Sus scrofa: one gene and its partners. The protein of the gene in region 3 binds, or shares a complex with, the protein of the main gene of each other region. Links are inferred from orthologs where the notes say so. Each region holds a gene or a part of one and is shown on either strand. Other genes may lie near its edges. The genes, in order: RASSF5, SAV1 and STK3.

Region 1 (10,114 bases), on a different chromosome or scaffold from region 3:
TTTGTTGAGGGGGCACTTTCCTAGGTGATGGAGGCTGTTTACAGCATCCCTGGCCTCTACCTGCTATTGCCAGTAACCTCCCCAAGGCTGTGACAACCAAAAGTGTCTTTAGTAATTGCTGAAGTGTACCCCCCGCCCGCCTGCCCCCATTTGAGACCTGCTGCTCTAGAGGAAGAAATAGAGACCTAAAGTAGAAATCCAGGATGCAGGTGGCAGGAGTAGGATGGGAGATGGGTAGGGTCAAGGCGAATGGAAAGAAGAGAGGCTGGAAACGTCCCAATGGGAGAGAAAGCTGGAAAAACAGAGTTGTTTCAATACGATTTTTAGGAAAGGTTGTTGTGTGGTGTGCCTTTGTAATTTCCCTCCTCCACCTTTTTTTTTTTTTGTGTCTTTTTGCTATTTCTTGGGCCACTCCCGCGGCATATGGAGGTTCCCAGGCTAGGGGTCCAATCGGAGCTGCAGCCACCGGCCTACGCCAGAGCCACAGCAACGCTGGATCAGAGCTGCGTCTGCAACCTACACCACAGCTCACGGCAATGCCGGATCATTAACCCACTGAGCAAGGGCAGGGACCGAATCCGCAACCTCATGGTTCCTAGTCGGATTCGTTAACCACTGCGCCACGACGGGAACTTCCCTCCTCCACCTTCTGAAGAAAACCTTCAGCAAAAATCTGCATCATTCACCAGGGCTTTGCGGGGGTGGGATTTGTCTCCCTTCCATTTCTCACCCTGGAGGGGCCAAGCCCCTCCCAAAAGGCTCGGTTCCATTCAGGCAACATCATAAATGGTTCCAGTTCCAGAGCATGTCAGGGTGTACGTCAAAGCATATTTTTTAGAACCCATTCAATGGCATACTTATATTTATTTATTTTCTTTTTTTGTCTTTTTAGGGCTGCACCCGCGGCATGTGGAGGTTCCCAGGTTAGGGGTCGAATTGGAGCTGTAGCTGTCAGCCTACACCACAGCCACAGCAACGCCGAATCCTTAAACCCACTGAGCGAGGCCAGGGATCGAACCCGTGTCCTCATGGATACTAGTCGGGTTTGTTAACCACTGAGCCACGATGGGAATGTCTATCATTCTTATAAAAACATACATCATATTTGTTTTCTATTAATGCTTTCCCAGTGGGAGAAAAAGGCCTGGGGAACAGCAGGAGGCTGGTAACACCCATGGGAAGCGGGGCCAGGCGACTGGGCATTGTTGAACTCATGCTTCATGGCCAGAAAAAGCGTGGGGATGGCTGGTCTGGGGACTTGGGACTGGATCCCGATTCCCCAGGCCCACTCGTGCTCTCTTGAGGAAATAACCAGTCATTCACATCTATGTGTCTCTCAGCACCTGGGCCTTTTCCTTCAGAAACATGGAGTTTACTTAGTCTCGCTCTCCTAAATCCCTGGCATCACCAAAGGATGCCAAGTCCCTTACTGCATCACCAAGCCCCTGGCATTCCAGGGCCTGTCACATGGTCTATATTCAAAACATATTTGGCAAATAAATACCTGGATGATGTCCTTACTTCCTTGACCAGCAACCTTTGACGCATACATTAAGGCTTAGAATAAACATCACCTCCTCTGGGAAGTAGTCCCTGATTTCTCCCAAGAGAAACAATTGCACTGTATACTCAAAACACTTATGTAGGGCGGGGGTGATAAATTAGGAGTTTGGGATTGGTAGAGACAAACTACTATATATAAAATAGTTAAATAACAAGGTCCTACAGTATGGCACAGGGAACTGTATTCAGTATCTTGTGAAAAGAATATATACATATAACTAATGAAAAAGAATATATATATATAACTAAATCACTTTACTGTACACCAGAAACGAACGCAAGATTGTAAATCACCTATTCTTCCTTAAAAAAAAAAAAGCAAAAAACTCTTTGATTCGTGTGTTTGTTGAAGCAAACATCACATTATGTCCTATTTGGTTGTATTCTGCCTGCCCTGCCAGGATGTAAGCTCTCTGAAGACAAGAACTGTGGTGTATCATTTTTTATCCCCACTCTTACCAGTGTTTGATAATCAATGTTCAATGCAAGAATTAAAAAAAAAGAATGTATGCATGTATGTGTAAATGGGTCACCATGCTGTACAGTAGAAAATTGACAGAACACTGTAAACCAGCTATAATGGAAAAAAATAAAAATCATTTTATATATATATCTATATATCTATATATACACACACACACATATAAAACAATGCTCTCCTGTCTTCCTCCCAAATCCTTGACATCAAAAATCAAACACATCCTGGTTCAGGTGCCTTGGCAAAGCCCAGACCAAGAGCTGTTTTGGGCATCAACTTCCTGGTCCTTTGACGCAGAGAAAGGACATCTGTCCAGGCCCTCTGACGTTGATCTGGTCTGGCTGGCAGGACAATGTGCCCAGAAGCCTCAGCCCCAGCATCCCCACTGCCCCAGGGCTCGGAGGCCTCTGAGGATCCCCAGGAGCTTTCTCTGGGATTGACCATACCCACACCTATGGCTGGAGCCTTAGGCCAAAACAGGTTCTGTGCTTGGAGTGGGCCACAGGGAGGGCACTTCTGAATAATGACAGGCTTCCCTGTGTCACCGATGCTATTCCGCTTCCCCAGCCTCTTGGAAAGGATGTGTGACACTGTGATTTTTTTTTTTTTTGCCTTTTTTTTTTAGGGACACACTTTCGGCATATGGAGGTTCCCAGGCTAGGGGTCGATTCGGAGCTGTAGCTACTGGCCTACAGCCACAGCAATGCCAGATCTGAGCCTCGTCTGTGACCTACACCACAGCTCAAGGCAGCATCAGATCCTTAACCCACTGAGCGAGGCCAGGGACTGAACCTGCATCCTCGTGGATCCTAGTCGGATTTGTTTTTGCTGTGCCACAACGAGAACTCTGATACTGTGATTAATAATCAGAGATATACACATTTGATCTCTGTCTCCATTTTTGGCACAATGGAACTTCTTAAATGATGAGAGCACCAAAGGTATTTCTTGTGATGTTAATGAGGTGACTTTTTTTTTTTTTTTTTTTTTTGGTCTTTTTGCCATTTCTTGGGCTGTTCCCGAGGCATATGGAGGTTCCCAGGCTAGGGGTTGAATCGGAGCTGTAGCTGCCGGCCTACGCCAGAGCCACAGCAACACAGGATCCGAGCCGCGTCTGCAACCTACACCACAGCTCATGGCAACGCCAGATCCTTAACCCACTGAGCAAGGCCAGGGATCGAACCTGCAACCTCATGGTTCCTAGTTGGATTCGTTAACCACTGAGCCATGACAGGAATTCCGAGGTGACTTCTTTAAAATTAAAATTGTCGGTTTTATTTTTAAATTTTTTTTGTCTTTTGTCTTTTTAGGGCCGCACCTATGGCATGTGGAGGTTCCCAGCTAGAGGTTGAATTGGAGCTGTAGCTACTGTAGCTACACCACAGCCACAGCAATGTGGGATCCGAGCCACATCTGTAACCCACACCGTAACTCATGGCAACACCAGATCCTTAGCCCACTGAGCAAGGGAAGGGATTGAGCCCACGTCCTCATGGATACTATTCTGGTTCGTTAACCATTAAGTCAAGATGGGAATTCCATGAGGTGACTTTTGGATCCCACCTAAGGATGCAGGCTAGTTGCCAGGAGAACCAACCAAGTATGAGAGGATTAGAACTTTCAGATGGACGCCCCTGACCTCTGGGGAACAGAGAGAGGCCGGAGGGTGGATCAATCGCCAATGGCCAACAATTTGATCAATCATGTCTGTATAATGAAGCCTCTGTAAGGTCCTGGAAGTTTGGGGCTCAGAGAGCTTCTGGGTTGGGAAACATGGGGAGGAGCAGGGAGGGCACCTCTGGAGAGGACATGAAAGTTTGTGCACCTCCCCCACCTGGCCCTCTGCATCTCTTCCATCTGGTTGCTCCTGAGTTATATCCTTTTATAATAAACTGGCGATCTAGTAAGTTTCAAATGTTTCTTTGAGTTCTGTGAGCTGCTCTAACAAATGCATTGAGCCCAAAGACAGAGCTGTGGCAACCTCCCACCTACAGCCTGTTGGTCCGAAGCATGGGTGACAACATACTCTTACAACTGGTATCTGAGGTGGTGGGTGGGGGGTGCAGAGTACAGCACTGAGCTGAACTACAGGGCACCCACTGGGTGTCAGAGGGTGGTGGTGTGGGGAAACCCCCCACATTGGAACTGGGCGCAGACTCGAAGAGTGTGCTATGGACCCCAACTGGCCAGAAGGGGACCCCCAACATCCAGCGTACATGGAACACTCTCGCCACCCATGCTCCCCAGAGCCCCTGGGAGGGACAGGGGAACCTGGGGGCACCTCAGGAGGCTGTCGCCAACCTGGAGCTCGAGCCCTCCCGCCTACCTGGCTGAAGGTTGCAGTGAGGGTGCTTTCTGGAGAGGGTCTGTCCTGGGAGGAGCCTTCCTGCTGACTGCAGTCCAGCTGGATCAGGCTGCGGCACTCAGGGTGGCAGGTGAATTTGCAGTCTGGAGGGAGAGAACCGCAGAGGGATTAGGGGCCAGACAGGAGGCCCAGAAAAAGGCCCTGGGAGGCGGCATGTAGCTCCTGGAGGGCGGTGGAGGGGGAAGAACACCATGAGAATGACTCGCTCTCTCTGAACTACCATGAGTAGGGAAGGTGAATAGGTGCTTTACAGTTTGCAATCTAGTTTTTGTTTAGAATTTGCAATCTCCTTTTTGTTTTTGTCTTCCTCTTCTTTTTAGGGCTGTACCCATAGCACATGGAGGTTCCCAGGCCAGGGGTCAAATCAGAGCTGCAGCTGTGGACCTTCATCACAGCCTCATCCACAGCCACTCCAGATCCAAGTCACATCTGCCATCTCCACCACAGCTCATGGCAACGCCGGATCCTTAACCCACTGAGCAAGGCCAGGATTGAACCTACATCCTCATGGATACGAGTTGGGTTCATGACCTCTGAGCCACAATGGGAGCTCCCAGTATGTAAACTGTTTCCACCTCCATTATTGTGTGTGACCCTGCAACCATGATTACCGCCACTTTGCCGACAGGAAACTGGGGCCTAGGGTGACTTTCTCAAGGGCAGATCATCTGGCTTCAGGCTGGTGCTCTTTCTACTAATTGATGTTAATCATCAGAGGCCCCAATCCCTGTGGAAGAACTTAACTTTTCCTGGCCTTGTTTTGCAGGCTGTAAAACAGGTAATAATGGCCCTGCCTGGTGCACAAGGATGATTACAGTTATAGAGGAGAACGGGTCTTAACAAATTAAAGGTGGGAGTTCCTGTGTTGTGGCGCAGCAGAAATGAACCCGACTAGGAACCATGAGGTTGCAGGTTCGATCCCTGGCTTTTCTCAGTGGGTTAAAGATCCAGCGTGCCATGAGCTGTGGTGTAGGTCGAAGACGCGGCTCAGATCCTGCATTGCTGTGGCTGTGGCATAAGCTGGCAGCTATAGCTCCGATTAGACCCCTAGCCTGGGAACCTCCATATGCCACAGGTAAGGCTCTAAAAAGACAAAAAACAAAACAAAACAAAATACCCAAAAAACAAAAAGAACCCCAACAAATTAAAGGTTTCTCCAGGGACAAAGGCATGATCACCAACAGGAAGGGCTGTCACGTCTCTCTGACACAGTGCCATCTAGAAATGCGAGGTGGCTCCTCTAACTTGGCTGACATGGCCTGCAGACAACATTCCAAATGAGGCTTTGGAGGAAAGCACACATTTGTTTCACATCCATGGAAGTAAGACAATGACCAGTGTTCAGCAGACCATGGGGGGTTACCTCAGAGATGGGGAAACTGAGGCCCAGAGAGGTAAAGCACGGTGCCCAATGACACACGGCTCAGTGGCACAGCCAAGGTTGCAAGCAGTTTCCAGCTTCCCCAAGGGCCCTCTCTGAAGCCTCCTTGGCAGAAGGGAGGTGAAGTTGAAGGGGACAGGAGGCCGGGAGGTTGGGGCAGGTGAAGGCAGGGAGGATGGGAGAGAAAAAAAGGTTGGCAGTGAAAGAAATCCGTCCAAGCCCATCAGCAGGCACAAGGCTCAGGCTGGAGGTTGGTTCCCACAGAAGCTGCTGGGCCCATCAGGGTCACCAGCCCTGGAGGTGCCACAGCTCAGCCAGAAGGCCCTGCTGAGGGAGGCTGCCAGAGTCTTAATGAGAAGGTTGCTGGACCGTGTCACCCGGTACATAGGGGTGGGCTGGGGTGGGCAGGGCTTGTGGCAGGAGACAGCCTGGACATGTCTGGATAATCTGGGGACGAAGGGACAGCTTTATGTTGGGCTCAGTCTCCTGACACTCTTTTCCTTCCTTTTTTTTTTTTTTTTTTTTTGTCTTTTTGCCATTTCTTGGGCCATTCCTGCGGCATATGGAGGTTCCCAGGCTAGGAGTCCAATCGGAGCTGTAGCTGCCAGCCTACACCAACAGCCACAGCAATGCCAGATCCTTAACCCACTGAGCAAGGCCAGGGATCGAACCTGCAACCTCATGGTTCCTAGTCGGATTCGTTAACCACTGAGCCATGAAGGGAACTCCCCCCTCCCCTTTTTTTTTTTGGGCCACACCTGCCGCATGTAGAAGTTCCAGGGGTCAAACTGTTAGGCCACCAAGGAGCTCCCTCTTTTCCTTCCTTTTAACAAGCTCCAGAACCACAGCACCTGGGGACCCTCTTTTTGTTGTTGTTTTTGTTTTTTAGGGCCGCTCCCGCGGCATATGGAGGTTCCCAGGCTAGGGGTCCAATCGGAGCTACAGCTGCTGGCCTACACCACAGCCACAGCAACAAGGGATTCAAGCGCTGTCTGCGACCTGCACCACAGCTCACAGCAACGCCAGATCCTTAACCCACTGAGCGAGGCCAGGGATCGAACCCACATCCTCATGGATACTAGTTGGATTTGTTTTTGCTACACCACAACAGGAACTCCCTGGATCATCTTTTTAAAGCTGCTGTAGCACAGTCTTTCTTAGGGTGGCAGTGGGTGGGTCTCCCCACTCTTTTGGAGCGTTTTGGAAGGAGAACCCCACTTTCCCCAGCTGCCCCCTTTCTTACCTCCCCAAGGATGAGCACCCGGCTCACATTTCTTGATCTTAATACTTTCAGGGGAGCGCCTGGCCAATGCAGGGACAGGAAGGGATCCCAGAACCCAGCAACCCTCTGACTCAATGGTCTGAAGTCCTGACCACCTTCCTAGGGTGGCATTTAGAAGCCCTACCGCTCACCTCCCCTGTGCCTGCAGGTCAAGTCCACTGACATCCCCTCCTTCAGACCCCAACCTTGCCTAGACTTCCTGATTCTTCTCCCGAGAAGCTGTGCTCCCACTGGAGATGGGGTGGGTGGAGGACCGCACCCCTGCCAGCAGCCACTCGCATTCCTGGGCCCCCAGCAGGAGACCCAGGCACCGGGTGAAGGGCACGGGGGGTTGTGCAGGCCAAGTCTCCCTGCCCACAGTGCCCAGAAATGCCAGGGCTTTGATAAGGGAGCGCCAAGGCCAGAACCCACACAGGGCAGCATTGTTCCCGGCTCCACTCCGGGACACACCTGTGCAGCTCCTGGCCACGCTCTGAGCGATGAAGAATGCTCTGCGGATGCCAAGTGGGAAGCAGGAGTGAGAGCTGCCACCAGCTGCCAAAGGGGAGAGTGTCTGGGGAGAGGAGAAAGTTCTCCTGTCTCCTCTTTCAATTCCATGTCAGCAGGCGGTCTGTGTCCATCTGTGCAACTGAATCTCTCCATGTCTGTCTGTCTATCTCGCTCTCACACACACAGACATACACACACACATATTCTGAAAACAGCACCAAAACCCTTGGGAGATTTTTTTGTTGTTGTTTTTGTATTTGTTTTTTTAAACAGGTCTGATGCTGAGCTGGACAGAGTTAGGACCCAGAAGACTCCAAGAGGGGTGCTTCGGGATTGTATAAAAAGCACATTTGAGCACTAGTGGGTCTGTCCCATCTGACCGTGTAATCACAGACTGTCGCAAAACCACGGAAGCATGGCTTGATATTTCCTGGCCCCTAGAAATGCTAACTAAGCCCCGGGCTTTTAGGCCAGCCAAGATGAAGTCAGAGTCCCCATGCCCTGCTCTGCACACAGAGGCAGGCCCCGCCTCACGTGCCCTGAGTGGGGACACCTGTGAGAGTCCCAGGTCAGGGTCGCATTCCACTGGGACTCAGTGCTTGAACCTGCACGGGCCATCTTTCCCACAAGATAGCTCCTCTTGAGGTGCTGCCAAGCCCACCCGTGTCCTTGGTCCCATCATGTCCCGCATGGCCCTCAGCTGGTGCTCAGTCTGGATGAGGACAGAGACAGGGACTTGGGTGGCATGGGGCTCAGCCTCCCCTGGACAGCCAGCACCTCATCTTTGGCAACAACGTTGGTGTCTTGAGCACGGACTTTCCCGTGCCCCGTGCTCTCCTGAGGGTGAGGATGAATGAGACAGGGTCCCAGGGGGAGCCCGGTGGGCTGGACCAACAGGACTCACAGGTGAAAAGGTAACTATCAAGAGAGGAAGCCCAGAGCAGGGCCCAGATCTAGGAAGGTCATTCTGAGGACACAGACACCTGTTGGCCATGGCAGTCAGGAAGGCTTCTTAGTGGAGGAGGCTATGGGGAGCTTGAAGAATGGATCAGGCTTCTGTCACTCATTGCAGGGGCCGAAAGGAGGCAGGGACTCTGACATTGAAGGATGCACAGGATAAGCATCTCCCCAGCAAAAAGCAGTGAGAAACTTGGGAGCGATACTCCTAGGTTCTAAGTGCAGCTGTCTTAGGAAGAAGTGGCCTTCCTTCTCCCCTTCCTTCCTTCCTTCCCCATACCTGCAGCATGTGGAAATTCCCAGGCCAGAGTTCAAACCTGAGCCATAGCAGTGACAATACCAGATCCTTAACCCACTAGGCCACCAGGGAACTCCTGGCATTTCTTGACTTCAGAATTTTCATCTATCAAACAAAATTATCCCTTCCCCTCCCCACCCTTCCCTTCCAGCCACAGGCCCTGTCCCCATTTCCAAGGACTTTTTAAGGAAAAGAAATGTGCTTTCAGGTTTGGGAAGAGGGGCCTATGGACACAGAAGGGGCCAATTTTAGGATGAGTGGTGGAGACACAGCCACAGGGGCTTTCTCCAAAGAGGGAGCTCTGCACCAGGATAGGGAGGGGACTCCCAGGGGCCACCCTCAGACCCGGGCTGTATTGGCTTCCTCGCTGCTATAACAGAGCACCGTGAACTAGGTGGCTTAAAACGGAAATGTATTGTCTCTCAGTTCTGGGGCTAGAAGTTTGAAATCAAAGCCTTGGCAGGGCCATGCTCCCTCCGAAGCCTGCAGGAGGCTCCTTCCCGGTGATTTGCTGGCAATCTTTGGTGTTTCTTGGCTGTAGCAGCCTCGCTTCAAACTCTGCCTCCATCTTTACAGGGCCATCTCCCGGGTGCCTGTGCCTTCATGTGACACCAGTCATCATGGATGAAAAGGTTCTTGCCTTATTCACGGTACCAATTTCTTGTAGGAATTTATCTCAGCTGTGTATAATTATTTGTATCTAAATATATCTCCACTAAGAGGTTCATCACACAGTTGTTTATAGAACTGAAATACCCCACGTACATCTATGGGGGCCAGTGACAGTTATGATATATTTGAAAACACAATACTATTTAACCATTATATATAAAATGATGCAGATTGGCCAACTTGGAAAGATGTCCACAAGCATATCATTGATAGAGGAAAAGGTGGCGTTTTCTGGTCCTAATTAAATAAAAACAGACACATACCTACATATACCCTCTGCACAGAGAGAAAGAGCTGGAAGGAAAGTGACACACTCGCTCTCAGTAATGGGATTTCAGGTGTTTTCCCTCTCCTTATTGTTTCTGCATGTTTATAATAAATAGCCATTCTTTTTTTCTTCTTTCCTTCCTTCCCTCCCTCCCTCTTTCTTTCTCTCACTCTTTCTCTCTTTCTGCTGCACCTGCAGCATATGGAAGTTCACAGGCTAGGGGTCAGATAGGAGGCCTACACCACAGCCACAGCAATGCTGGATCGGAGCCACATCTGTGACCTACACTGACGCTTACAGCAACATCAGATCCTTAACCCACTGAGCGAGGCCAGGGATCGAACCCACATTCTCATAGGGA
Region 2 (10,114 bases), on a different chromosome or scaffold from region 3:
TCTTGTGATCAGATTCTGCTTTTTGTTAAAGATACCTGGAAATTGAAGCAAGTAAATAAAACATCTATCTCCTTACATTTAAATTTTTATAAAAAATACAGACCTGCCTTATAATGTGCCAGAATATATGTTTTGAATTACATGTCTTGCTATTTGCCAGGCAAGAAAGCAAAAATTGGAAATGCACAGAACATCTCAAATCTGTTTGATAAATGCAACCAATGATCCTTTGGGCTGTTTTGATGATGTTGGCCTTATCAGTAGATCTCTTTTATGGCCAAACTTCTACTATGAATTCTTTAGCCAGTTGTCATATATGGCTATTGAGCACTTGAAATATGACTAAGCCAAATTGAAGTGTGTTATACATGTACACATTGGACTTCAAAGTATATAGAAAGTCTAGTATGGAAATTGCAACATTTCTAGTTAACTATATTTGAGCTCTCAAGAACTGAGCCATAAAATTAAAAATGGGTAGAATATCATCAGCATTTTGATAGGTGTTGCTTAGTATATCTAGCATAATATAGATACTTGGTTAGAGCAAGCATTTGTGTTTTTTAGAACCATTAATATCATTATGAAAATAAATTTTCACATTATCATCCAGAAAACTAAGCTTTATCATTGCTGTATTGTTTTAACAGTTTTACACATTTGGATTTATTAATTCAACTTTGAAAAGCATTTTTTTCATGGATTCCATTTAGTGGCACTCAGTCAATATTTATTAAACAACTGAAGTTGTCATCCCTTCAAAAGAACCAAGTCAACTGCTCTGCCTGTGTTAAGCTCAGGCCCCTTTGCCTATTCTTTTTACCATTGCAAGCAAACTGCACTTTCCCTGGCTTCCATTTTCAGGCCTGTGACATGTGAGTAATTTGTAGCTTCACTCCCACCTGGTCACAGTCCCCACCGAAGGGCATAGTAAGTCCCACTAATTCCTTCTGTGTCCCCAGCACCCAATATAGAGACACACATAGGTAGATGTTTGTTGAATGAGTAAATGATAGAAATGCAGGAAAAAAAAACAACAAAAACATGTGGTTACAGTTTGCTATCACTAGGTGGCAGAGGCTTTCTGTTCCTTATAACCAGATTTGAGAGTATATGGAACTTAGTTTTCTGTTTACCGTCATTAATTTTATTACGGAATTTTTATAGTTTATGAAGAATTTTCACAATAATTTAATTTGTGTCTCTCCGCAAATCAACTTTAAACTTTAAAGAGAGAATAAATGTCTTAGGCTCAAGTAGAATTAATTAGTAGCCATTTAACTATCTATATTATGCCAGTCAGTATATAGAACTCTTGACATATATTAGGTCATTTACTGTTTAGCTCCAGTTTTACAAATAAGGAGGCTGAGGATAAGAGAAGTGAAGCAGTTTTGCCTACATTCATACAACCTATAAGTGGCCAAACTGAGGTTAACTGCCCCAACCCAACACCGCCCCCCCCTCAGGGGGTATCTGACTTCAAAGCCTTAGTTCTTTCCCACCTTCCATTTGTGACATCAAGGGATATTTCACTTTGTACCTATCTATGAAAAAAGAAATGAAGATAAAATTCAGTGCCATTTGCACATTGATCTTTAAATTGTTAACCATAGTCTAACCCAGCACTTACTTTGTCCTAGTTTAGTTATCAAATGACCTTTTCTGATATACACATAAATCTTTATGTTTGGAGGCAATTTCCAACTTAGTATCCAAGTTAAGGATAGGCCGTTTTTGGTCTCCCACAATTCAGTCTTTAACCTTCAAGTGGCCCAGTGCTTTCCTTAAGATTTTCCATTTATAACAGCCCCCAGCCCACCTTGCTGTTCTCTTTCCTCCCCAATATACACAGACCTGTTAGAACTAGTTAAAAGAGTTGGCTTTTTTTTTTTTTTTTTTTGTCTTTTTTTTTTGTTGTTGTTGTTGTTGTTGCTATTTCTTGGGCCGCTCCCGCGGCATATGGAGGTTCCCAGGCTAGGGGTTGAATCGGAGCTGTAGCTGCCAGCCTACGCCAGAGCCACAGCAACGCTGGATCCGAGCCACGTCTGCAACCTACACCACAGCTCACGGCAACGCCGGATCGTTAACCCACTGAGCAAGGGCAGGGACCGAACCCTCAACCTCATGGTTCCTAGTCGGATTCGTTAACCACTGTGCCACGACGGGAACTCCAAGAGTTGGCTTTTTTAAGTCTCTGATTTAAAACAGGTTCTGAACAATTCTAATTCCCATATACTTTCTTAAAGTTATTAAAAGCAGAAAAAAATAGTACAGCTAATGTGGGCATTTCAAGCATAGTACTCACTCCTGCTATAGTACCTACTCCAAACCCCCTTTTCAGCCTAAAGGAGGAAGAAAATATCCATTTTTATCTTGAGAAAAATTATCAAGCCTTCCAATATAAATTTACAGCTAATTACTACTGTTACTAAAATTTATGATTCTAGTTTTAAGCCTCTGTCTAAAGGTTATAACTTAGCTCTGACTTTTTTTATGGCCTTTTTTGAAGTTGCCCTTGAAAAGAATAAATACCAACCAGAGAAATCTCTTAAAAATATGTTAAGATTTAGTTTAGTTTTATATCCATCATTAATGACCTACAATTTTCCAAGAGAAGGTGGATTTTACTTCCCTTTTTTTAAAAAGCCAAGATTTTTATGTTTTTTAGGTGGTAGAATTTGGGGCAAGAGGCATATTGAAAAACACTTATTACTATTTCTTGTTTCATTGAGGGCCTTTATCCTAATGAATGTTCTTTATTCTTAGCGTACCTCGATATGATCAACCTCCTCCTGTTACATACCAGCCACAGCAAACTGAAAGAAATCAGTCCCTTCTGGTACCTGCAAATCCGTATCATGCTGCAGAAATTCCTGACTGGCTTCAGGTTTATGCTCGAGCCCCTGTGAAGTAAGTGAATTTATAGCACAAATTTTTGTTGAAAAGTGAATGGAGAGCGGAATGGAGTCTCTGGGCTGTTTTACCTGTGTAGCACCATGTTTTTTCTCTTAATAATACTGGGCTTTTAAATGATATTTTATTTGAAGAAAGGCTATCAGAGTTTGTAAAGTTGAAAAGTTATTGATTAGAAACAGAAGTTTTACAAAGTTTTATTGAATCTTCACTTTCTTTGTGTGCCAACTTGTGCTATTACATGGATTCAGTAAAAGGCTTACATTCTCATAGGGGTAGAATAACTTGTAAATTAGTGATACAATCTCTTGTGATAAAAGGAGGGACCCAGAGAAGTCCTAGATGCACATGTGAAAAAGAGCATAACTTAAGGACACAAGGGTGTTGAGGAAATACTGTGCATGGTGGCTAAAGTTCTGAGATGTTCTGTGTTCACTGACACATTGTTACCCTGGACAGGGTGCTTAACTTAGTTTTGTCTTCTATAAACTGGAGATAGTAAATAGTACCTATTCTTAAGCCTATTAAGTACTCAATAAAACAATGCATCTAAAACATGTATAACAGTGTCTTGAACATTGAGAAAGCTTAGTAAATGATTGTTATTATTAGGGGTGAAGGTACAGAATAGTGGTTAATATTGCTTGTGAGGGAAACTGGTTGGAAGGAAAGCGTGATTTCTGTTTCCATCACCTACTTAGTGAATGACCTTGGGCAAGTTACTGAACTTAGTTCTCAGTGTTTTTCCTCTACTGAAACACAGCGGGTAATCTTAGTTACCTTACCTACCTTACTCCTGGTGAGGCTTAAAAGCAATCATGCATTTTAAAGCAAATGGGCATAGTGGGTGACTTGGGTAAGTCCCTTAGTTATGGTTTCTTATTATTATAGTGAGTGAGCAAGGAAAGCTGCACTAAAAGAGGAAAATACATGAGCTAGTTTTTATAGATGGCTCCGAGTTTGCGAAGCTCATTGAGGATATTTGTTGGGTGCCATAATAGGCACTGTTCTTAGAATGTATTCATGAATAAATGAAATATTTGCCTCAAAGAGCTTCTCTTCTGGGAAAGCAGAAGTAGCTACTCAGATTAATAACCCAATGTGATAAGGATTAGTATCAGTGGTATATACAGAGTGCTGTGATTTCAGAAAAGGGGGTTTTTGGGAGTCCTCACTGTGGTGCAGCAGGTTTCAGATCCAGCGTTGTCTCTGCAGTGGCCTGGGTTGCTGCTGAGGGGTGGGTGTGATCCCCAGCCCAGCTCAGTGGGGTTGGTGTGGCTGATGTTGCCACAGCTGTGGCATAGGTCATAGCTGCAGCTCAGATTCGATTCCTGGCCTGGGATTTCCATATGCTATGGGTGCAACCAAAAAGGGAACTAAAAAAAGGGGGTGGGGGTTTAAAAGTAAATAGCTGTTGCTACCTGTGTTCCATATTGTACTATAAACCTTTAGGTAGGTTATCTCATAGAACCTTCCTCAGTCTGTTTTATAGTTGAAAAAAATTTTGTTTCTTCCCAGATCACACAACTGTTAAGTGGTGGATTTTAAACCTTTAACTTCAAAGTTCATACTCTTCATACTCTTAATTTTTGTCATTACTACTTTCTTAATACTAATTACCATTTACTGAGTATCAAATTCCTGGTACTTTGTATTTTACACATAATAATTACATGTACAGTACTGTTAACAACTATATAAAGTGATGTTTTGTACGTTTATTCTCAGTACTCCTTTTGTGTTTCAAAAACCAAAATTATCAGCATAAAATAGCCCACAGAAGAATTTTAGAAAGATGGTTGTACAGTGAACTTAGAATAATTAAATATCATAAAGTTATTGGTCATTTACTATGAAATATTTGTTAATTATTGGCCAACATAAACATTCCCTTACACTTTCCCCGATCTTCTCAGTTTATAAACTCACAGCTATTGATCTCTGTGGCCAGGTGCTATAAACTCACAGCTATTGATCTCTGTGGCCTGGTGCAGAAAGACAAGATGGTATTTGAGGACTCTGATCTGAAAGCATTAGGATTTTTTTTCCCATAAGTCAAATTTAGGCCTTGTCAGTGTATTTTTTAACGTTTTAGTTATAAATATTATCCTGCAAGGTGTAAACAGAGCTTGTCAGCAGTTTGGCTTTAGTTTACTTGAAATTATGTACATATTCACAGAAATTAAGCATAGTTTGGTGTCTGAGCTAACCTACAGAAGCCTCTTTATCTGATAATATCCATATAGTATAGGAATAGGATGAGGAATCATACCAGATGGACTTTTTTTCCTTTCTCCCCTCTTCTTTCAATCATGATACCACTGACCTTGTATTGTACATAGCTCTTGTTCATATGCTGATCCTAAGTCATATATAATATATTCATATATTTCCTTAAGTCTGGAGGAATGTGTGTCTGTTAAACATTTGTCACTTCTGGAAGCTGATAAGATTGAGGAGGGTTATTCTTTCTACTTTATGTTATTGCTACTCTATAGCCATTGTAGAAAGAAATAACATAGAAAGCTTTTCCTTTTTGGGGAAAAAATAGTACTAAAATGGAATTCTTTGCTTCTTATGAGAAAAAATAACTCAAAGATTATAATCCCTTTCAACTCAGGTTCTATGAGCTAGTTATAAAACTTTAGGAAACTATCAACTTTTTTTTTTTTTTTTTTTTTTTTTTTCCCCAAATAGATCAGAACTTTCCAAAAATTGGCCGGTAAGAATAGAGAGTATGTATTTTACTGCTTAAAACAAGAGGTCTAGAGACCTGTTACCTTTTAGTTGATCCTAAATTTTTATCTCTGAAGAGGATGGAAATGGTTACTATTGTCTTGTCAACAAAAGGTGAACTGTTCTTTGAAGTAGATAATGGAGAATCAGTTACTTAATAAAAAAGAGGTTTTAGCCAAAAATTAGCGTGTTTCTTCCTTTTGTTAAACAGTTGACATCTTATTTCCTAAAAATGCCTTAATTTTGTCTTTAGCAATAATTTAGCAAAGTAATTTTTGCACATGTACCTTTAGAACAGATGTTTTAAATTTTTATTAATTTTAGTTATGCTTCTAAATTTGTTCACAGAAGCCTGTCATGTATCATATAACTGTAATTCTAGTTGAACTACAGGGTAAATTTATAAGATTTAATCATTAACAGGAAAAAGACCATTAGGGACATGTTTACTTTCCATTATTCTTCACATACACACACACACACCCAACAGCATTGTGGCACAGACCCTTATTTTATTCCTGTGACTTGGTGTTCCTGCTGTATGACTGTTGACTCATTTCTGGGTGTAGGAGGAAAGGAGTGGGTACACTGTTACATAAGACAGGCACAGGGAACTGGGGCTACACTATAATAACCAGGGCTGGGAACAGCAGCTTTTGGCTCCTGAGGGCAGCATCCACTGGAGTGTGCACATGGTTTTTTTGGTAGCATTACAGCAATTATTGTTTGAATATATATATATATGTGTTATTTATAAGTACTGTTTGGATAGAATACTGCCCTAAGAAAAAACAGCAAAAGAGGTGCTATAAGAAAAGGAAGGATATTGGAGTAGTTTACAGCCTATTTTCTGAATGATTTACCTGTGTATTTAGAGCATAGTGGCTAAAAGGTAAACTGAAGCAGATCATTTGGCTTGTGAAGAAGAATGGGAATTACATACTTTTCTAAAAAAATAAAAGCAAGCATAGGCAGAAGGGAAGTAACTGCATAGAAACAGCAGGGACAAGAATTTGGAATGGAAATTGGCACATTGCATACTTTGCTCATTTATGCTTTTCCTTAAAGTGCTTTTTCTTCTTCCCAAAGTATTTTCACTAATTATCCTGATTTTGTTGCTTCTACTCAGAATCCTATTCTTGATGCTAAATGCTGTGATTGGGAATAAGCACGGTATTTACCAAGATTACCCTATTAATTCTCTCTTTTTTTTTTTTTCTCCCTTGCTAGAAAGTACATAGGCAATAAATGAGCTTTAACATTTTTAGAGTTCACCTGGCATAAATTTAAGCATCTTGAATCTGTGGACACTGCTGAAATGCTCCTTAGTTAATGTAGTTCAGACTTAGAAAGATGAAGGTTTTTGTTAGGAATTATGAATTTGTTTCAAACAAATAAGTGAAATCTTAAGGTACATGAATGGCAGAAGTTCTAGGAAACATCTTAAAACTTTTTTCACAGGGGCTCATTGAGTATTTCTCATGCTAGTTCTCCAATTTATGTCCGCAAGTAGTTGGAGTTTCTCACTAAAGAGATATTTCTATTAGTAAATTTTCAGTGCTCATTAAGTAATTAGTAAATTTGGTATCCAACAAAATGTTTACTTTTTGATCTTGTGTTTTGTGCTTCTGGTATTCCTAGTACACATACCCAAGTTGTACAGAGAGGTATGGCAGCACGCCAAGCTCTGTATTTGTTTACTTTGTCCATTTTTAAAAAATGTTAGATGTTCCTTTGGGAATAAGATGGTAAATGAGTTCCCCATCAGAGGATCATCAATCAGGTAGGAAATCTTGTCAATAATTACTAAGAATAAATTTATTAGAATTTACAATTGAAGGTCTTCCTGTTATGTCCATTCTGCAATATGATTTGAGAAGTATAACTTTAATATTATATAAATATATGCCTTGCTGTAGGTCAAGTTCTTTCTCTAGTCTTGGTAGGTATTAACATCAGAACTATTACTCCGATGCATCTTGGTCCATAATTCTCTTTCTGATCTTTTAGTCACTAAACAGTTTTGCAAGAGAGATGTATATAGCTTCTCTAGGTTTCATGTATAAAGTGAGAAGACTGGATTAGAGTCCTGTCCTCAGACCCCTTTCATTCCAAAGTGAAAATTACTGCTTTAGTAGTCTGTTGCATACTTCCATCTCAGCTTACCACTGAAGAAGGACTTTGGAAATGTATATAAATATAATCTTAGGTGAGTCCATCCCACATTGTGTAGTTTGTTTTCTCATTTCGTAAAGAGCTTATTCTTTCCTTTCTGCTTGTGTTGTTCTGTTCAGTTTATAATACTGTATACTCAACCTCAGGAAAATGTAGCCCACAAATGATAATTCCTTTTCCTTTCTCTGTTTAGCTCCTTGTTTCCTGTAGTGAACAGCAGGTCTCAACACTAATGACACAAATGATCTTGCCCATTTTTGTGTATTGTTCTTTACAAGAGCAGTGTTGTCTAAAGTATTCTTAAGTTCCTGACAGTTAACTTTGAATGAGCTTATGTATAGAGTGGAATGTGTTCTTTAGAAATTATAGAACCACAGTGGTTGGAAATCTGTGTTCATTGTCTAGTGTTAATATTAGAATAACTGACATTTAAGATGAATAGAAATGGGTATTTTTTAACTTCAATTGAAATGAAGTAATATTAGCAGTTTTCTCCTTTCCCTAAAAAATAGTCTATTTAACTAGCAGTTAATAACTCAGTTATTTTAAGGTTTATGATATATTTAGTTTTAGTAAAATTGATATTTATAAAAACAGACCAGTTTACTACTATAAATACATATTTATGAATACATTGTGAATATGTTTGATTGTGTTTTAAAACAGATATGACCACATTCTCAAGTGGGAACTCTTCCAGCTGGCTGACCTGGATACATACCAGGGAATGCTGAAGTTGCTTTTCATGAAAGAACTGGAACAGATTGTTAAAATGTATGAAGCCTACAGACAGGCTCTTCTCACAGAGTTGGAAAATCGCAAGCAGAGACAACAGTGGTATGCCCAGCAACATGGCAAGAATTTTTAAGTTAATTTTTATAAATAAAATTTAAGGGCTTTAAAATCTTTTCACAAATGAAAAACTGCAAACAAGTACTTTGGTTAAAAAGGCAGCTTACTTTTTTGGACATCATAAATCTAATTTTACATATATTTTGTTATTAAAAATATTCTTTTATTAAGAAAAAAGTGAGTTTATCATTTTAAGAGCCAACCTGGCAAACACTTCTAAATGCTGTATATTTGGAAACTGCTTTGAATATTCTTGATGGCAACAAATGTAGCAAGAAATGTCATTTAACCAGATATTAAGTAGGAAATTATCAGTCAGTAAACTCTTATAGTAGCAGTACCTTTCTTTAAAAAGCAGAGAGGGAGTTCCCATTGTGGCGCAGGGGTTAACGAATCTGAGTAGGAACCATGAGGTTTTAGGTTCGATCCCTGGCCTTGCTCAGTGGATTAAGGATCTGGTGTTGCCATGAGCTGTGGTGTAGGTTGCAGACGCAGCTCGGATCCCACGTTGCTGTGGCTGTGGTGTAGGCTGGTGGCTACAGCTCCAATTAGACTCCTAGCCTGGGAACCTCCATATGCTGAGGGAGCGGCCCTAGAAAAGGCAGAGAAAAAAAAAAAAAAAGCAGAGAGATAACCTATGCAGTATTTAAAAAAAGATGTCTACTGCTTTCATGTGGAATATTGCCTGGAATTGGATGGTTTAAATATTACCATTCAAAACATAAAATGGGATTTGGGTGATAAATTTTTGTATATAATGTATGAAGTTCCTCTGCCCCCAAATGTAAAGAACCCTTTTAAAACATGTTGAAAAAGTATTTTTTGGTCTGAAAGGGTGAAGGACCTGTAATCTTTCAGGAATTAAATTAGGCATAAGGCCCAAGCCTGTGTGGGAAGGTGTGTACAGCAGTCACAGTTCCTAATATAACTTCCTTACTTTGTGCCAGGGCTCTTATGGCATTTAGTAACGTGATTCTGATGAGACACTGGAGGGTTCCCAACAGCATAGCACGTTGCCATCCTGATGGACTGGGTTGAGCTGCCAAAAATGACAATCAGGGATTCATTAAGAAATCTTGGTCATTAAATTGATTTACAGATCTTTTATCTTGTAAGAGTTTGTCACACAACTTTAAAACCCCAGTATTTCCCCCTCATTTTTTCCCTTTTGGTTTAGTAGTTATTAAGACATTGTTCATAATTAGCATAGTACATTTGATTGCAGGCAAATTTATGGCACATGTAGCCTACAAAATTCTGTGAATTTCAACACTTGTTGAAATAGCTCTAGTTATATTTACATGTGTTGTAAATATGTAAATAAATTCTTCATTTAGGTTACCTTCCAAAATATAAACTCCCAGATTTAGATACCAGTAAGTTTGAATTATTGATAAAATGTTGAAAGTGTTAAATGTTTGATTTTATATAACAA
Region 3 (10,550 bases):
ATTTTCAGGAGAGGAGGTGAGCTCAAGTCCTTTTACTCTGCCATCTTGTCTCCCCTCCCTACATTCTATATTTTGAATAGAGAAACTACTCATAGAATCACACATGCTCAACAATTTCCCCAATTTTGTAAGTGTGTATGTGTATAATCAAGACACTAATATTTATATCAACATATCTGAAAAATTTATCTTGCGTCTTTACTAAGATGTCTGTTATCATATAAAATCTATAGACTAATTCAGAACTCACATACAATACTACCATGTGTACGACTGTATTATCATTAATGCTAAGAGCTTTCTGCAATTCTCATTTATCTATTAAGTCATTTTTTTAAGATGTATCCTTTGATGTACTTTTAAGCAGTTCAAGGTAATCTGTACCTTAATTTCATGGCATGCAAACAATGGACTTATTTTTAATTTTCGTACATATCCGTTTACATATATGTTACTTTCATTTATTCGACTTAAGAGTCTACATAGAAAAAAAGCTGTAAGAAGACATTTCAAATATAGACTCTTTGTTCTATAACATGAGCTGAAAGTTTCTTCAAATCAGAATAATCCTAACATATGAGGCAATTCAAACAAAATCACAACAGGAAAGAAGCTTGGGAATAAAAAAGAAAATTTATATCAGATAGTATAAATTTTCTCTTTAGAAGAAAAAGCCAAAGACCTTTGGTAGATAGAGAGGGTGGAGCTGGTAGGGAGTCAGAAATTGAGGTCATCATAATTACAGTGGGATATTTCCAGTGCATGGGGTCATTCTAAACCAGAAGGCAAAAGAACTTTTGCCTCAAAGAAACCTTCATGAACTACATTTTCCTTTACAAACTCTGTCAGTCACCATGGGTAATTTCTCATTTTCCCATACTTTAATTGGGACATATAAAAAGTGTTCAAAATACAGTCATTTCTAAATAATGGTTTTCTCTCTTCCCTTTACCTCTCCTCTTTTTAGACTCTTAAAAATATCTCTATTATATGTACAGCTCGTGACAATTATACCACTCTGAATTCCTTTGGCAATGCCCTCATCAAGCTTTTAGGTATCAGGAAGAGTGTTGAAAATGAAAGGTTTCCTCACTGTAACAACTACATACACCAACAATGTTTTTCCAAACTACAGATCACAACTGATTTTCAAACTGCAGATCACATCATGAAAATAATTTGGTGGGTCATGAATAGCAACTTTTCAATGAACTCGATCAGAATTAAAAATAGAAAAATATCAGAAAACATGGCAGAAAGTACATTTCATGAAAATCCTATTTTAATTTATATATATATATATATATATATATATTGGTCTGTACTGGGTCTCATCATTAGAATTTTTTTTAAAAAATTCAAAGTGAGAATATATGATGGCCTGATGTGACAGAACCTCTAGCTCTACACAGACTTCTTTGAAACCAGAAACATTAAATTCTAAGCACATTCCCCCCCATAAACAAATGAGAAGTGCTCAATTTAAACCAATTATTATTAAAGCTTCACTAATACACATTTCTGGAATGCATACAAGAATTTTTTGGGATTACTTCAGAAAAAAAATTTCAACCTAGCTGTGTTTAACATATGTTTACCTTTTTCTTTACATTTCCAACAAATTCCAAAAGTACTAGTATATGCTCTATCTCGGCCCCTTAAAGAACAATAGATAAATTAATCATTGCCTAGAGTTGAATAAGATGGAGTTTATCTCCTTTTTGAATGTGCAGCTGGGGTTTGCTCACCAGGAACTGCTCCAAATGTTGTCATACTCCTCTCTCCAGGAAGGAAAAGCCAATTGATTGTTCCCATTTACAGGGCCTAAATCAATTCTAATGGAGTTGGTGCCATCCTGGATTAACCAAGAAAAGCCAAAGTGAGGACAGATATGCTTTAGGGACCAAGTCATTAATGCAAAGAAATGCTCCTGTTTGCTGGATTATTCTCCCACTGGACCACTTAGAACACCTCTTCCACTTGCCTGCCTCTAAAGTTGGAAGATTCCCCCAACTCCCTGAGGCCACTGCCTTTGTTTTTAAGAGTTCTTCAAGTTCATCTTCTTAAAGACAACTCCAGCTCCCCAGATTGTGAATCTCTCTGATAATAAGCACACAAGAATTTTACTTTCTAACATTTATCTCTGTTCCTAATTTCCAGCCTAAGGTCAGAGCCACTGATGCTACAGGCAGATATGGGTTCTTCATGCTGAGGAACATATAATTACCTTCTACCTTACCCTTCTATACCCTTTTCCCTTTACCTTGGCTTTTTCATTCCATGATAATCTATCTTCTGACTGATAATCCATTCACTCAGAGCAATACTTTCTTTCCCTTATGAAATGATTGTTTTCTTACCTTCACTCTTCATCTGTGTGAATGCACTTTGTAACCCTAACATTTTGACTTTGATCTTCAACTATACGTCCTCCAAACTAACTACCTTTTCACAGTAAAAAAAAAAAAAAAATTGCCATAGAATCCAACTATAGCTGAAATCAAAGAACCCTCCTTATCTTGAGAGTAAATAAGGTAAAGGAGTTTACTTTCTTATTATCCATCCAGTGTTTTCACTGTTCCACATTGACTTGTCCTCCAATTATAACTTAATCAATGAATTTTTAATTTTAAATAATTATTAATCTTATAACCTAACAGGAATAAGGCCTATTTGGCAAAGTCTATCTTTCCAGCAAAGATATTCCATCCTCTCTTTGACAAGTACTGGGTATAACTACCTACCCTCCAGCAGCAAGTGTTCTCATGCTGCCCATCTATCTATCATAAGAGACCTACCTTCCCTTCTATGAATGTTCTACTTGGAGAAGAGCCTGTGTTTGGTCACTTCCCCTTTTACCTACCAAAACTTACCTATTCTGTGATCATTTCTTTGCCATCCAGTAGTTTCCCTACAAAGCAATCTGATAAGCTCAACCTACCAAAATACTAACAATTAATAACCATTTAATGGATTTCTCTTCTCAGATGGACTTCATTTCAATAAGGACTTTTAAAGCCCTCTGTGACAGAACTGTTAAGGAAATCTGGGGAATCTAAAGGCCATTCTGATCCTCAAGTCAGTGCCATGGGTGACCACATCTATTGCCTATGTTTAACACGAGCCTTGTTGGGGAGACCAAATCAATAATGTGAAGGTAAGAGGGACCTAACAGACCATCCAGTCACTAGATTCTCAGATCTGGCTGCACACTGGAATCTCTAACTCCCAGATGATACCCAAAGAAGGAAATTTCAAAGTCAGTGACAAAGCTGGGCCTAACACCCAGGCCCAATGCTATGTCAGATATATTAGAACAGTACATTGAAAGTATAAAGACAAGTATGGAAATGACAAATACACAATTCGGAACAGTGACAACCCTTTGGGGGTTGGGAGGGGATGCAACTGAGAAGAAATATACTTAGGGGGCTTCAATTGCATTGGAGATATTTTATTTCTAGAGCTGGGTAATGACAGGTAAGTATTTACTAAATTAGTCCCCATTATCTTTTGGATGTCTAAAATTCTGAAATTAAAAAAAGAACAATTTGAAGATGAATACTCAAATGGACATCATATGAGGAATACAGAGAGGTATCTTAGGCTAGATTGTACTCAAATAAGATACTTTATGAAGCAGGTCTTGAAGAATGAATAAAACATAGATTACTGGCAAAAGATAACAAAAACTTTTCTAAAGGAAACACAAAGGCAAAGGTGGAAGTACCTAGCCTATAACCTACTTAAAGAACAACAGGGAAACTTTAGAAGGGCAGATTCAGCTTGGAGAAGTAACTAAAGGCTGGGGGTTAAAGTTGAGAACAAGTGAGGGGGGACCTTGTCAACTAATGAGCCCCAATCCAAAAAAAATAAAAAGAGTAGAATGACTAAAGTAATGTTTTAGCAAAATAAATCAGAAGCCACATGCAGGATGAACTAAAGCAGCGTTCTGTGAATCGTTAGGTTCTGTAGGACCCCAAAAGGAGAACAGAAGGAAATAAGGCACTGGGAACCAGGTTCTGGTGCCCTGACTCTACTCCAAAGAACGCCCTTGTGCTGTTGAAATATTTCTGCTATTAAAATTTTTTGATAATCACTGGATTACAGTGCCTAATTGGAAAGCACCGCTATAAATCAACAGTGAGGATCTTAAAACCCTGGAATGGGGTAGTAGGCATGGAAATTAAAGTGGGGGGGAAATGAATCCACAGACTTTTTGATGAAAAATTTGACAGGATCTAGTGACAAACTAAATAGGATAATGAAAGAATGGAGCTACATGAAAAAATCAAAAATACTAACTGAGCACACAGACTTGATCATCAGTAACATACATGTGACCATGTAAAAATGTCTGCACCTTAAGTAAGTGCTACTCAAGGCAGAAAATAAAAGTGGCATTCTTACAGGGATTAAGAAGAAAACAAGCAAAAGGGACCAGAAGATTATAGAAAGAGATGACCACCACATCATGGAATGCTAAGAAAGCAAGAGAGAGTTCTGAAAAAGAGGCATCACTGTCTATAATGAGAGGGTGCACAACCCTTGGAGCCCATCAGGCCCAGGGTTCTGGCACCTTCTCCACCTGATCAAGTTATTTAATCTCTCCAGGCTTCATTTAATAAAGAAAATATAAAGAAATAACTAACATATTATGAATCACTGTGCTAAGTGCTTTACATATGACCTCATTTTTCTCCTCAAATCACACTTTACAGATGAAGAAATTTAAGTCTGACCTAGCATAGTCAGCTACAGAGCCAAGATTCCTATTTCTTGGGACAATAAAGTATAAAAATGTAAACACAGGCATTCCCTGATGGCCTAGCAGTTAAGGATTCAGCACTGTCACTGCTGGGGTTTAGGTTCAATCCCTAGCCCAGGAACTTCCATATGCCTGGAGGGCACAGCCAAAAAAAAAAAAAAAAAAAAGAATGCATATATAAAATTCCTGGCAAATAGTAAGACCTCAAAAAAAGGCAGCTATATTTCATTATTAGAGGGTAATGATTAAGGGGGAAACACAAAACCTCACTGTCGGTTATCCCTGCCATAGCCTTCTACGTGACGAACTCTCTTAGTTTCTTGCCTATAAAACAGGATTAATGTCTGTAATCCTAACGACTCTATAGGGCTGCTATAAAGATTAAATGATATTACAAAAAAGAAAATGTTATGAAAAAATATGAAGAGATATTCAAATACATGGGATTGCCACATATCTTTAGCTCTTTAAAAATGCTTTCCTGGATCAACATGTCTCTCTGAAAAGAGCTAAAAATAAGTTGCTCAAATGTGTAACCACCACTTTGAAAAGTATAAGTCAGCATGGAATGCTGACATATACTACACACACCTCCCCCCACCCCTCCAGGCTCTCCCGTGTCCCTGCAGGGGCAGGGGTTCTCCAACACCCAGAGTGAAACTCTGATAACTTAGAGCAGAGCTAATCCATACAGAGCTTCTACTTCCATTCAGAGCTGTTCACCTTGGCCTTAAAGTACTATCGCCAAGGTGCCCCTTACAGCCATTCAGAAACAAAATGGGGGAAAAACTGTATCCAGTTTTCTTCTATAGTATTAAAACTGGGTACCCAATCAATATTAGAATTGGGATATTGTAGAATGCCAGAAAAGAATCTATCAAGGGCTCTGCATGACAGCAGGTCTCTTTTGGAAACTTCTCCACAACCCCCCTTTCGCACCTGAACAGATGGTTTCCAAGCCTCAAGGCTCACATGTCCAGTGACACAATTCACAACAGCTCACAGAGTTTCTATCTTTTTAATTATTTCATGTTCTTGAATATACCACCTTTCACTTAAACTCTCTAGGTATCAAAACACTCTAGTCCTCACCAAAAGCATCATCTGGGAGAGAGATTAATACTCTTATTTTATAAATGAAAAATGAAAGACTTAAATGTTTTATCCAATATCAGTGGACTGATTCATTGTTGGGTGTGGGGACGCACACTGAGAATAAATATCTATGGAAAGCCTTGATTTAGCTTCCCAAGAGCACTTCAAATATCAGTTCAAAAGTATCTACTGTGTACTCTTACACATCCAGTATATCAAAGAATAAATATAAACAGTAAATATCAAAGCATCACTGTTTTTACATGCTAAAAAAAAACAAACAAAAAAAACCAAACCTGTATGGGGGGTGGGGTTCTAATTTAAGATTTCTGTCTTGCATCCATAAATACTTTTGAACGTGTGGAGGAAGGGGGAGGAACACCTGTCAGTGCAGCACATCTACAATAAGTTTTACAGACACTGTAGCTAACACACTGTAGCTATTAATATTTAATTCCTTGAAGTGTAAGTAAACAGCCCGCTTTCTCAAAAAAAGGGGGGTGCATATTATGGAAAACATTTGACAAGAAAGCCTATAGTAAGAAGTCCAATAATTTCCTAGTTTTACGTCCCCCAGCTTCGTGAACTTGCCACGAGGGAAAACTCTGCCCGCCCCAGGAGTCCAGCCGCTGGGCGCCCGGCGCTGCCCACCGACTTTCCACGCGCTCCAGGCCCGGCGGGCCGCAGGGGAAACGAGACTCGGCCTCCCTCAGGGTCCCCTCGCCGCACGGACCGACGCGGCCCTACACTCGGACCGGCCTCGAGACCCCCGGAACTCCAGGCTCCCGGCCCGGCAGTCAGGGAAGGGGTCGCGATCCAGCCCGGCCTAGCGGCCCCCGCCCAGCGGCCGCCGGCACCGCCTCCCTCCTTCTCCTTGCTCCCCGCGTTCGTTACCTCTTGGGCGCCGGCGGCTGCTCCATGGCGGCCGGGGGCAGAAGGAGGGACCAGGTGGGCGGCGAAGGCCGGAGTCGGGCAAGGAGCCGAGGAACCGGCCAGCCGAGCCCAGGGAACCACAGAGGGAAACTCCAGGAACTCGGACCAACTTTCCCGTAACTCCGCGGCGGATCCCCCTCCCGCTTGCGAAAGCGGCTCCTCCCGGCCCGCCCCGCCCCTCCGCCGGGGGCCGCAGTCCTGGGAGGGTGGGCGGAGCCGGCCGCGGCCCAGGCGTGGTAGGCGGAGCCAGGCGCCGGGGAGGGCTGCCAGTGGGCGGGGCCGGGGGCGGAGGCAAGGGGCCAGCCACTGGGCGGGGAGGAGAGAAAAGGAGCTGGGATTGGAATGGGGAGAGGGTGAGGCCTAGTCGGGTCCCAGAGCCTCTGCTTGCTGGCCTGGGGCATTCCTTTGAAGTGGGCCAAAGCTGCCGCTCCTCACTTGCCTTCATTGCTTTTGCCCCAATCAGATTTGACTCATTTCACTGGATTTCTCAAGAATACCTCCCAAACATCTTCAGCAGCCTTTTGAAGTACTAGCTGCCGACACTTCCCTCTCTAGTTCTCTTTATAATTATTGGTTATGTTTTCCCCCAGCCATCCCCCACTACGAGGGGTGCTTCTGGAAGTTCTTGTTTGATTTTAATTGTGGACAAACTCCTCGCAATAATTATGTCTAATTACAAAGAAAATAATTACTGCAGTGAGATCTCTCATGCACTGGATTCAGTGCACTGCTGGCAAACCTGTCACAGATTATGGTACATAGAAAAGTACTCAAGAAGAGTTTCTTTCCTTCCCTTTTGCCACCCTCACCCTCACCTGTCCCCAAGACATTTGTAATTTGACTCCTTCATGCATCCATATTGTGTGTGTACCATTTAACCTTAAATTTCATCTATAGAGGGTTTTTTGTTTTTTTGTTTTTCTTTTCTTTTTTTTTTTTTTAGGGCCTCACCCACAGCATATGGCCAGGCTAGGGGTTGAATCAGAGGTGTAGCTGCTGGCCTACACCACAGCCACAGCAACACAGGATCCAAGGCACATCTGTGACCTTCTCCACAGCTCACAGCAACACCAGATCCTTAACCCACTGAGCAAGGTCAGGGATCAAACCTGTGTCCTCATGGATACAAGCCTGCTTCGTTAACTGCTGAGCCATAACAGGAACTCCTATAGGTATCTTTCTTATGACCTTACATGGTGCTATGTAATGACCTAGCTTGTTTTTGTCAGAAATTGTCACGATGAAGATTAAAACAAAAGGTATGAAGAGAATGTTGTGAACATTAATCCAAATTATACTTATGTATGGAGACAGTCCTCCTTTTACGTTATTTTAAGTTTTTTCTATGTAATAAAATTACATGATTTATTTTCAAACCATTTTATTCTCCCCCTAAACTTAAAGTTTGTTAAGGCCATTTCCTGTTTGTTTAGGTCATTTTTTAAATTATAGTTGATTTACAATGTTGTGCCAATTTCTGCTGTCAGCAAAGTGACTCAGCCATGTGTGTGTGTGTGTGTGTGTGTGTGTGTGTGTGTGTACACATACCTCTTTTTCTTGTATTATCTTATAATATCTATTATAAGACCATTCAACTCATTGTTGAAACCTAAAGTCAAATTCTATGGACAGGAGAGATTATTACAGAATTTATACTTGTTTGCATTTATTAAAGATCCACAGTCTAACAGTTCAGAAGTAACAAGACAATCATTAAGATGTCAAAGCTAGGAAAAACCTTCGAAATTACTTCATTCTGTCCCTCACACTCACCCTCACTTCCATGCTCTAGTCCCATCTCCTTATACTTTATCAGAAAAAAATCTCTTTCAGGGAAAATCATTGTATCTTTTTTGAAAACTGACACGTTTTTAATGGGCTCAAATTATAACACTTTTTTTTTTTTTTTTTGGTCTTTGTAGGTTCACACCTGCAGCATATGGAAGTTCCCAGGCTAGGGGTCGAATCAGAGCTACAGCTGCCAGCCTACACCACAGTCACAGCAATGCCAGATCAGAGCCACATCTGGGACCGACACCACAGCTCACAGCAACACTGGATCCTTTAACCCACTGAGCGAGGCCAGGGATCATAGCCGCATCCTCATGGATAGTAATCAGATCCCTTACCGCTGAGCCACAGTGGAATTCCAAAATTATAATATACTTTAAAAGATGGATTAAATTGTGTTACTAACCTTAATCTCATGGAAGCCTTTCCCAATCAAACCAGCCGAACCACCACCCCACTACCTCCAACACTTCAATTATGAAAGAGATGCCTCTCTTCCATGCCCCCATAATCCACTCTACTGGCTTTTTTAGGATTCTTATCACACTGTATTGAAGTTCTATTTATTTGACTGTCATCTCAACCCAACTGTGAGTCTGTTGAGAACCAGACTGTCTTTATTCTCTCCTATCCCTTGCATAACAAGTACCTGACACACAGCAAGGGCACCAGATTGGGTAGCTTCCTTTTACTTCCTTAGATTCACTCTCCATCCTTCTCCATCTGCTCTTTGCCCTGGGGCCAACCTGTATGACTGGCATCATTGGGCTCTCAGCTCTCTGACTTATGTTTGAGTCAGATGATAGGGAGACCCAGTAGGAGATCATGTAAGAAGAAAAGAATGTAATTTCAGGCTATTTATTCCCCTGGTTCCTTTCCTGCAAGGTCTCCTAGGGCCCAACTCTCCTAATCCCTTTGGGCCTGAGGGTGGTGACTGCTCTGCAATTCTCTGGATTCCTCCTCTATTCCCCACACCCCCTAGACCTCAACCCTCCTCCTATGGCCCTAATTTGAGTGTACCTTCTAAAGGGTTTTCTACTGAATTAAATTGATAGACACCCATAAAGAAGGTTTGTGGAAGGAAGAGGAATAATATCAGAAAGTAAATATCTGAGGTCTCCCCTCAACCCAAAAGGGAGAGCGCTAACAATTGTTGTGTGACCCCAATGGGATCAGACACTTGGCCCACATGCTCTCATTAAACCCTTGAAACTGCCTTGTTTGCTAGTTATTTCTGCTTTAAGTGAAGAAATTGAGGTTCAAATGGGTGGAGGGAGTTATCCTAGGCCACACAGAAAATCTGCATTCTAACCCATGCCCTTATAACTCCAAAGCCATGCCTTATCCCCCTGTAAGTCATTCAATAAATGCTAACTGAGCAATCGTGTATGTAGGCACTGTCGTGGGCACTGGGGATCCATGAGTAAAGAAATTTGACAAAAATCCCTGTCCTCGTGTTGTTTACATTCTGGTTGGTGAAACATAGTAAGACAAATAAGTAATCAAAAATGTTCAGTACTGAGGGAGTGCTTGCTATGGCAAAGTGAGTTAGGAATCCGACTGCAGTTGCTCGGGTTGCTACAGAGGTGTGGGTTCTACCCTGTCTTGTGCAATGGGGTAAAGGATCCAGTGTTGTGGCAGCTGCAGCTTAGATTCAATCCCTGGCCCGGGGAACTTCTATATGCCTCTGGTGTGACCATGAAACCAGTATATATGTGGATGTATATAGTACTGACATCTGCTAGGACGAAAAATAAAATGGAGAAAGAGAAAATAAAGTGGAGGGGAAGGGATGGAACTTGGAAAGCATGGCCAGAGGGGGCCTTCATGAGAGGGTGATTGAGGAGGAAGAGCGGAGGAGAGCCCTGCTGAGCGCTGTAGGAAGATAACTGTGAGGCGGAGGGAACACTTAGTCTACAGCCCCGAGGCCAGTGGGCCTGGTGTGTTCTGTGTTACAGAATAA

What was found.
Region 1: the proteins of STK3 (region 3) and RASSF5 are in contact, whole or in part, in a crystal structure (PDB 4LGD), measured with the Homo sapiens proteins. The link is inferred for Sus scrofa from reciprocal best matches to the Homo sapiens genes STK3 and RASSF5. Residues at the interface, in NP_006272.2 of Homo sapiens: Phe437, Phe439, Leu440, Leu445, Leu448, Gln449, Arg451, Leu452, Leu455, Asp456, Met458, Met459, Glu462, Ile463, Leu466, Arg467, Tyr470, Lys473, Arg474, Pro476, Ile477, Leu478, Ala480, Met481, Lys484, Gln488; in NP_872604.1 of Homo sapiens: Trp369, Asp370, Ala371, Phe372, Ile374, Leu377, Gln378, Phe380, Leu381, Leu384, Glu385, Glu387, Glu388, Lys391, Ile392, Val395, Gln396, Lys398, Tyr399, Phe402, Arg403, Lys405, Leu406, Ala409, Leu410, Ser413.
Region 2: the proteins of STK3 (region 3) and SAV1 are in contact, whole or in part, in a crystal structure (PDB 6AO5), measured with the Homo sapiens proteins. The link is inferred for Sus scrofa from reciprocal best matches to the Homo sapiens genes STK3 and SAV1. Residues at the interface, in NP_006272.2 of Homo sapiens: Trp429, Lys430, Val431, Pro432, Gln433, Gly435, Phe437, Phe439, Leu440, Lys441, Asn442, Leu443, Ser444, Leu445, Leu448, Gln449, Arg451, Leu452, Leu455, Asp456, Met458, Met459, Glu462, Ile463, Leu466, Arg467, Arg469, Tyr470, Ala472, Lys473; in NP_068590.1 of Homo sapiens: Tyr311, Ala312, Arg313, Ala314, Pro315, Asp319, Trp324, Glu325, Phe327, Gln328, Leu329, Leu332, Asp333, Gln336, Leu339, Lys340, Leu342, Phe343, Glu346, Leu347, Ile350, Val351, Met353, Tyr354, Ala356, Tyr357, Arg358, Ala360, Leu361, Leu362.

The regions. Positions count from the first base shown.
Region 1 is NC_010451.4:67,178,139-67,188,252, reverse strand, and holds part of RASSF5 (ras association domain-containing protein 5), read right to left. Parts: intron 4,490-10,114; coding exon 4,368-4,489; intron 1-4,367. UniProt on the Homo sapiens protein: Potential tumor suppressor. Seems to be involved in lymphocyte adhesion by linking RAP1A activation upon T-cell receptor or chemokine stimulation to integrin activation.
Region 2 is NC_010443.5:180,406,185-180,416,298, reverse strand, and holds part of SAV1 (protein salvador homolog 1), read left to right. Parts: intron 1-2,769; coding exon 2,770-2,913; intron 2,914-8,493; coding exon 8,494-8,695; 3' UTR 8,696-10,114. UniProt on the Homo sapiens protein: Regulator of STK3/MST2 and STK4/MST1 in the Hippo signaling pathway which plays a pivotal role in organ size control and tumor suppression by restricting proliferation and promoting apoptosis.
Region 3 is NC_010446.5:38,008,270-38,018,819, reverse strand, and holds the start of STK3 (serine/threonine-protein kinase 3), read right to left. Parts: upstream 7,019-10,550; 5' UTR 6,784-7,018; coding exon 6,758-6,783; intron 1-6,757. UniProt on the Homo sapiens protein: Stress-activated, pro-apoptotic kinase which, following caspase-cleavage, enters the nucleus and induces chromatin condensation followed by internucleosomal DNA fragmentation.